2 linked regions of the Coturnix japonica genome follow. Each later gene encodes a partner of the first gene's protein in a complex. Links are inferred from orthologs where the notes say so. Each region holds a gene or a part of one and is shown on either strand. Other genes may lie near its edges.

Region 1 (4,239 bases):
AAAAGCAGGAAGATGGAACAGAATTTCCTATCTATGAAAGAGAGAAAGGAGAAAAGCAAGAGCGCCTCTGCCCCAGGCCAGAGGCCGAAGAGAGGCGACCTCCTCTCCCAGAAGGGTCAGTACCACGGACAGCTCACCTGATGTCGGGCTCAGGACCACGGACAGCTCCCCCAGCCGCCCCATAGGGCCCCATAGCGCTTCTACTCCACAGCTCGGCCCCCTTCCTCCGTGATCCCCCATACACAACACCGCATACCCCTCCGCAGCCCCCAAATGAAGGCAGCTCCAGAGCCCGACAGCACACTCATTTCATCACGTATTCACTCCAGTGTCCCCCCACTCATCCTCACTGCACACACATCCCCCGCACTGCATGCATCCCTGCTGCCCCACTTCACAGCCCTCTGTCCAGGTGACACGCTGCAATTGCAGATCCCCGTAACCCCTGACCATGAGTCTGACCCCTCTCTCTGGGTGTCCCTGTGCACTTACACCACCTGTGTCCCTCCAGCACGCACACCTCTGAGCCCTCCCTATGTACCACATTGCACGCGTGCCCCACAGCCTGCTTATTGTCAAGCATAACCACCGAACACACATCTCCATGTCCCATTATGCCAACACCCCACTGCCATCTCCCATCACACATGAATATGCCCCATTGTGCTCACACGTCCTGCCCCACTGCCCACGCACCCTATACTCAGTTGCATGGTGTAATGTGGGGTACCCCACACATCAACGTGCCCTGCTGCACACTGACCCCACATCTCGCTGCACACACATCCCGCACCCCATCACACACACTGTCATCCCACGGCGGGCAGATGCTGCGGACGGTCTGCGCTCCATCCTCACCCCATTAATACAAGCACACACCTCCCCCCTTCCTCACCCCCATCCCCCACGCAGCGCTCAGCTCCCCGACCCCCTCGGCCCCTCGACACTCACCGGCGGGCGGCGGCGGCCATAGGAGGAGGAGGAGGAGGAGGGGCAGGAGCAGCAGGGGCAGGCGGAGGAGGGGTATCGGTGTGAGCGGCCGCCCCCGCCCGCCGCCCCGCCGCCCCATCCCACCGCGCCGGCTGCCGAGGGGCGCGCGGCTCCAGCAGCCCCGCCGCGCAGGGGCGACCATGACGTCATCCGTCCCGCCCCCTTTCTCCCTCCCCAATTTTCCTATTGGCGGTTCTGCTTGTCACTCACAACCGGCGCGGCCCCGCTTTCTGCTCGCCATGATACCTCCCACACGCTAGGGGGCGCTGTCGCACTCTAGGCCTCGCCCTTCCCGGTCATCCAACTTCCTACCGCGTCGGGACCGCGTGCGCAGCACTTCCGGTCCGGATCCGGTACCGGGCTCACCATTACCGCCCCCGGTACCGCCCATGGAGTTCCCGGGCGTGCTCTTCCCTTCTTACTTCGGATCCGGCCCCACCAGGGACGAGGGGCGTCCGGCTCCGGCCGCTGGATGGGGGGAGCGGGAAGAGGTGCTGCAGGCCGGGCCTGGACGGCGGCAGGTGAGGAGTAACGGGGGAACGGGATGGGGGAGGCCTGGGGGGCAATGAGTGAGGGGGCAGTGAGGGTATTGAGGGCACTGAGGGGGCTCTGAGGGCACTGAGGGGGCTCTGAGGGCACTGAGGGGGCTCTGAGGAGGCTCTGTGGGCACTGAGGGGGCTCTGTGGGCACTGAGGGGGCTCTGAGGGCACTGAGGGGGCTCTGAGGGTACTGAGGTGGCTCTGAGGGCACTGAGGGGGCTCTGTGGGCACTGAGGGGGCTCTGTGGGCACTGAGGGGGCTCTGTGGGCACTGAGGGGGCTCTGAGGGTACTGAGGGGGCTCTGAGGGTACTGAGGGGGCACTGACCCTCACCTCCATTCCCCGCTGTCCCTGCAGGTGCTGCCGCCGTTCGTGCCCCTCCGCAGCCACGAGGGGGAGAGCTGGACGCCGGCTGAGCCCGCGGCGGTGCCGCTGCTGCCGCCCAACGTGGGTGAGGATTGAGGGGGCACAGGGGGGGCTGAGAATGGGGCTGCCACCTGGTGCTGGGACGCACTCGGCAGCCCCCCCCCCCCCCCCCCCCCCCCCCCCCCCCCCCCCCCCCCCCCCCCCCCCCCCCCCCCCCCCCCCGCCGCCCCCTGCCCCCTCACAGGCTGCTCGGTCCCCAGTGTGACCGCTCAGGATATTCTCTACCACGGTGTCCTGCATAGAAAGCTGCAGACTGGGAAGTCTGGGGCTGCGCTGGACTTTGCCAAGCAGGTACAGGGCTTGGGTGCTGCTGAGGAGACAGGGCTGAGCTCCACCATGACATCACTGCACAGCCCCACACTGCTGTCCCCACGCAGCTAGGGCACTTCTTTGTGGATCATCCTGAGGACGCCTTCAGCTCCCTGGGGCAGCTGCTGCACAACAACTTCCACCTGGGAGACTACAGCCTCGGGGTCAGTGTCCTTGGTGATGCTGAGGGGGGCACTGGTGTACCCCCTCCTTTCTGTTCATAGTGGCACTTCTCTCCTCCCTGCAGAAAGGCAGTGCCAAGGACACAACCATCCGTATGACATCCATGGTGAAGAAGATCAACAATATGGAAGCCAGGCGGTGAGTGCTGCTGGGTTGGGAGGGCGGTGGGCTCCGACACCTACCTGGCACTGATTGTCCCCTCACAGTGGCTGCCCTCGGCATCCGTATGCCAACCACCTGCGCTTGTTCTCTCACCTGTGCCGGGACTGGCTCTTTGAGGTGCCACTGGGACTGCTGGCCGACTGCGTGCATGAAGAGCTGCTGCTACAGTGGACCAGACTGCTCTTCGATGACAGTTCCACAGGGGGAGCACTAGCCTGGCTGCCCCCTCAGGATGCAAGCAGTGACATGGGATGCCTGGTGTACCCTGGCGGGTTGGCCATGAACCACCTCTGTATCCTTTCCTATGATACTTGGGGGACTCTGGGACAGGGGAGCACTGTGTGGCAGTGCCCTTAGCCTGCACTCCAGATTTCCAGAATGTGGTGCTGGAGGAGCAGCCGCGGGCCCAGGGGTTGCCAGTGCAGTTTGAGCTCAACGGGCGCATCCGGCAAGTAGCTGCTGCCCGGGTGGATGGGCAGGGTGAGTAAGCCCTGGGACATGTGCACTGCATACAGAGATAGTGGCATCCCTGCTCTCTCATCTGCCCTCTCTCCTGTCTCCTACTAGACTTTGTTGGCGTTCGCTCTGACTATTACTGTGGTGTCTGGAGGATGTCAGGCAAGACAGGGGCTGCCCCCAGCTCACTGCAGGTCATCCACACTGATGTGCCAGCTTCCTGCCTCACCGTCAGGTGTGTGGTGGGAATACAGAGCTCTGGGAAGGTCCTCAGCTACAAGCCTTCCAATGTAACGCCATGTCTCTGCCCCACAGCCCACACCTGCCTGGGGAGCTGTCAGTCTGTACGCAGAGTGGAGCTGTCTATCTATGGAACATAGAGACAGGGTGAGTTGGGGCTCTGATCCCCAGTGTTTGGTGCTGCAGGAGGCAGGGGTGCCCCACAGCAAGGAAGAGCTCTGTCCTTTTCCCTACAGGCTGCAGCGGCTCCGCCATGACCCCCAGACCTTGTTTTTCCGGGACCACTCACCCTGGCGCTGGAGTGACTTCACTGCTCACCCGCGGGTGCTGAGCTGTGCTGACCGCACTGGCATCCTGTGCCTGGATACTCGGGTGAGCATGAGAACGGGGTTCAGGGTGGGCTGTGGGGTGACCTATGTCAGCCCCATGGTGCTGACAGCACCCTGTTATGCCACTGCAGGCCCCCACTAGATGCCACTTCAACTTCTTCAAGGTGGGTGAGGAAGCCAAGTGCCAGAAGGGTGAACGCGTGGTACTGCCCATGTACCTGGGTAGGGCTCACCCCTGCCAGTACCTCGTTGCCACCCAGGTGAGTCCTCCATGGCTCAGTGTCCCCAGACCTCCCCACCCACCTCGTGCATCTGGTTTGGATGCAGGTGGGGGGCACCCTGCTGAGTTTTGCCCCCTTTCAGTTTGCCGTGTACTTGCTGGACGAGCGTTTGCCGCTGGTGCCTGTGCTGAAATGGGCACACATGATGAAATTCCCCCCTCTGTTCGCTGATGTTGTGCCGGGAGAGTCTGGAAGGAGTCATAAAGTGCTGCTGGGCACCTCTCATACTCAGGAGCTGCTGTTGCTGCAGTACACAGGTGAGAAACCAGGTAGGGGAACGCAGATTCCCCTCATGTCCACATCCTGATCATGCTGCCTCACCAGC
Region 2 (3,466 bases), on another chromosome or scaffold:
AGAGGACCACCACTTATCACATATTTTCCCCCCAAAGCTCATTTTTTCCCCTTCCTTCATCGCCCATCATGTCCTCAGCAGGGAGAGGAAGGGGCTAATCCCTGCCCAGGGCCTTGTCCCTCACTCAGGGTGATGCGGTGCTAATGAGGGGATGATCGGGTGGGCTGTGATGTTGCTCCGTGCCACCTCCATCATCTCCTCCTTACCCACATGGGTAATTGGCAGCCTGGTGACAGACAGACTCATTAACAGCTTAATTTTGGCTCGCTCTCTTCCTGCCCAACCCCAGCCTTAGGGGGGCCGCTCAGTGGGGGGATGTCAGCGCTGCACCCCATAGCACCGCAACATGGGGATGGTGCCACCCCATAGCACCGCAACATGGGGATGGTGCCACCCCATTGCCCGATGCCAGCCAGCTTCTCCCCAGGTCTGTTTGCTCCATAACGGCGGTGCCGCGGCTCCTTTGTGCCCGCAGATAAGAGGGGCCGCGGCCGCCTCTGAAGCACCGCTCCCACCCCCGAGCCGGGCAGGCTTTGGGGAGAGGGCAGGGATTTAGGGTGCAGGATTTGGGGCTGCCCAACCACCCAGGTGCCGCCGTGGCTCTGCCACCTGCTCTGCCTCTGTGTGCAGACCCCATCCCCATCAGCCCTTCACTCCAAAGCCACGGCCCCATCTCCATCACCATCCCCCCCATCAGAGAGCACTGGAGGCTGTGTTGGCCCCCCAATGCTGCCCCACCGGATGGAGGCCTGGCCGCCGTTCAAAGCCGTGCTCATGTTGTATAATTTATCAGTGAAAGATAACAGCCCCACGGCTAAACCTCCCCACCCACACACAGCCCGGCACTGTGAGCAATGGGACTCCCAGCCTGGGGAGAGCCCACATGGAGGGACCCCCGGTGTGTCCTACTGTATGCTGGGATGCTTTGGGGTGCACCAAGGCAGAGCTGTGCCCCCCCCCCCCCCAAAATCCCTTCATATATCCCGGCGCACCGGGGGCTGCAGAGCACCTGGGGACGGTCTGTGGGATCCGTGCAGGTTGGGGGCGGGCTGAGGGCTGGTGCTGTGTGCTCTGAGCGGCACCAGGTGCCGGATGGGCTTGTTTGGCTCCAGATAAGGAGGAGACGGCGGCACCGGGCAGGTGCTATAGTGTGGGGGCTGCCCACCCCAACCTCGGCTCCTCGACCCCGGAGGTGCGGGGCCGCCAACCCGGGTCCCTCCGTGTCCCTCCGTGTCCCTCCGTGTCCCTCTGTACCAGCGCATCCCTCCGCTCACACAGCCCGGCCGCATTGAGCCCTTTGGGGAGGGGGCTGGCGGTAGGAGCTGGGTGTCACCGGGGATGTGACACGGAGGGAAGGTGACGCTGTGGGGTGTGACACGGGTGGGCTGTGGGGTGACGCTGCTGCCCCCCGCCCAGCTCCGAGCTCCGTCCCGCCGTGGATCTGCCCCGACCCACGCGGTTCGATCCGCGGCCGCGCAGCGCCCCCTACCGCCCCCTGCGCTGCAGTGCGCCCCCCCAGCCTGCAGGGGGCGCTGCCGGCGGCGCTAGGACCGCGCGGGCACCTCTGCCCGCCCACCACGAATGAGGTTTCCGGATGTGGAAACACGTCATCACCGTGCGCCGCAGCGGGAGCCGGCGCGGGAGCGAAGGGGCGCCGCCATGGCCGGCATTCTGTTCGAGGACATCTTCGATGTGAAGGACATCGACCCCGAGGGGAAGAAGTTCGACCGTGGTGAGATACGACCCCCCCGCTCCCCGCCCCTTCCTCCCACCCGGGGCTCCGAGGGCCGGGCCGGGTGCGGCGGGCCCTTCCCGTTGACGCCCCGTCCCGGCCCGCTCAGTGTCCCGGCTGCACTGCGAGAGCGAGTCGTTCAAGATGGATCTGATCCTGGACGTCAACATCCAGATCTACCCCGTGGATCTCGGTACGGGACGGGCGGGGAGGGGGGGGGGGGCAGCTCCGGCTGTGCGCTCTGAGCGCTGCTTTGTTATCGCCTCCCAGGGGACAAGTTCCGTCTGGTCATTGCCAGCACCCTGTATGAGGATGGGACGTTGGATGATGGGGAGTACAACCCCACTGATGACCGGCCCTCCAGGTAACGTGGCTCGCAGTGGTGGGAGAGACCCCTCCTACAAGGGGCCTCCTCGCAGAGGATGCTCTGTTAGGGGATGTGGGAAGGATGGTCTGACGCTTCTCTCAGCTCCCCTCATGTCATTGCAGGGCGGACCAGTTTGAGTACGTGATGTATGGCAAGGTGTACAGGATTGAGGGGGATGAGACGTCCACAGAGGCAGCCACACGCCTGTGAGTGGCTGTTGAGAAGGGGACGCGTTGCCTGAGGGTGGTGGGGAGGCAGCGTTATCTTGACTGGGTCTCCTATGGGTTTCCCTGCTCTCACTGCTCCTCTCCTCCTGCCCCAGCTCTGCTTATGTGTCCTATGGGGGGCTGCTCATGCGCCTTCAGGGAGACGCAAACAATCTGCATGGGTTTGAAGTGGACTCCAGAGTTTACCTGCTGATGAAGAAGTTGGCCTTCTAGGAGATGATGCACCTCAGAGGGCTGCCTGCCCCCAGAGACATTCTGTTGGAGAGCAGAAAGGACACCATCACCCCAAATCCTGCCCCAGCACCTTTGCTGCCCAGTCCCTCCAGTGGTGGTGGAGGAGGGGACTTTCCCCCTTTGTCATCCCAGTCTTTTCTGACTGTTTCCCTTCTGTGCAGGGGCTGATGCCTCATTCTCAGTGGAGACCGTGGGTGCTCTGTGGCCCTGCCTGCTGATCTCACCTTCCTGCACTTCAAAAGCAGGCTTAGCCCCAGCTCTAACCAGGGGCCGCTGGACTGGGGCACTCACCTGTCTGTGCTAGGGCTGGGCATCATTTTCTAAGGAGCTGTTCTGAGACAGATGTGGCTTCTTAATTAAACTGCTATGTGTTTTCTAGATGTGGTTGTTGTGGCAAGGTTGGCTTCCCAGAATGCCGGTTGGTAGATGAAGATGGGATGCTCATGGAGGATGTTGTGGTAGCAGACAGCAAAGGTACCACATCAGGGGCACTGGCTTTCAAGCTGCAGCTCCTGGAGGGGCTTGGCCTAGTCTGAGTGATGCTGTGTGACCCCAGAGCTCAGCACAGTGAAATTGGCAGGTGGATACTGGAAGGCAAGGGGCATTATTATCTCACATCCCCAGCTGAGCCCACCTGCCCTGCAGAGATGGCAGCCACCACAGGAGGGAGCTGGACACTGGGAAAATCAGGAGCGTTTGTTCCCCAGCTATTGCCTCCCCCAGAGACTGGTGTATGCTCCTTAGGCCAGTGCTACAGCAGGGGGAACAGGAAGACACAAACAATCCTTTAGAAAAATAGGTCTTTAATTGTAAAGCATTCACAGTCTGATAGGAGCAGGGCATGTGCCTCGTGCTGCACAGGTATGGCTGCTTTTGACCTCTGTGGGCCGTGTGATAGCCAAAGGC

The links.
Region 2: TAF1C (region 1) and POLR2H share a complex: the UniProt entries of both Homo sapiens proteins name them as parts of the pol I pre-initiation complex. The link is inferred for Coturnix japonica from reciprocal best matches to the Homo sapiens genes TAF1C and POLR2H.

What each region holds. Positions count from the first base shown.
Region 1 is NC_029547.1:8,327,283-8,331,521, forward strand, and holds the start of TAF1C (TATA box-binding protein-associated factor RNA polymerase I subunit C), read left to right. Parts: upstream 1-1,287; 5' UTR 1,288-1,379; coding exon 1,380-1,511; intron 1,512-1,885; coding exon 1,886-1,979; intron 1,980-2,138; coding exon 2,139-2,245; intron 2,246-2,331; coding exon 2,332-2,427; intron 2,428-2,510; coding exon 2,511-2,584; intron 2,585-2,652; coding exon 2,653-2,900; intron 2,901-2,977; coding exon 2,978-3,088; intron 3,089-3,175; coding exon 3,176-3,299; intron 3,300-3,379; coding exon 3,380-3,451; intron 3,452-3,540; coding exon 3,541-3,676; intron 3,677-3,764; coding exon 3,765-3,893; intron 3,894-3,996; coding exon 3,997-4,171; intron 4,172-4,239. Other genes in the region: TMEM8B (transmembrane protein 8B), read right to left, coding at 952-1,132. UniProt on the Homo sapiens protein: Component of the transcription factor SL1/TIF-IB complex, which is involved in the assembly of the PIC (pre-initiation complex) during RNA polymerase I-dependent transcription.
Region 2 is NC_029524.1:13,963,233-13,966,698, reverse strand, and holds POLR2H (DNA-directed RNA polymerases I, II, and III subunit RPABC3), read left to right. Parts: upstream 1-1,595; 5' UTR 1,596-1,659; coding exon 1,660-1,732; intron 1,733-1,841; coding exon 1,842-1,925; intron 1,926-2,002; coding exon 2,003-2,096; intron 2,097-2,221; coding exon 2,222-2,305; intron 2,306-2,421; coding exon 2,422-2,539; 3' UTR 2,540-2,940; downstream 2,941-3,466. UniProt on the Homo sapiens protein: DNA-dependent RNA polymerase catalyzes the transcription of DNA into RNA using the four ribonucleoside triphosphates as substrates.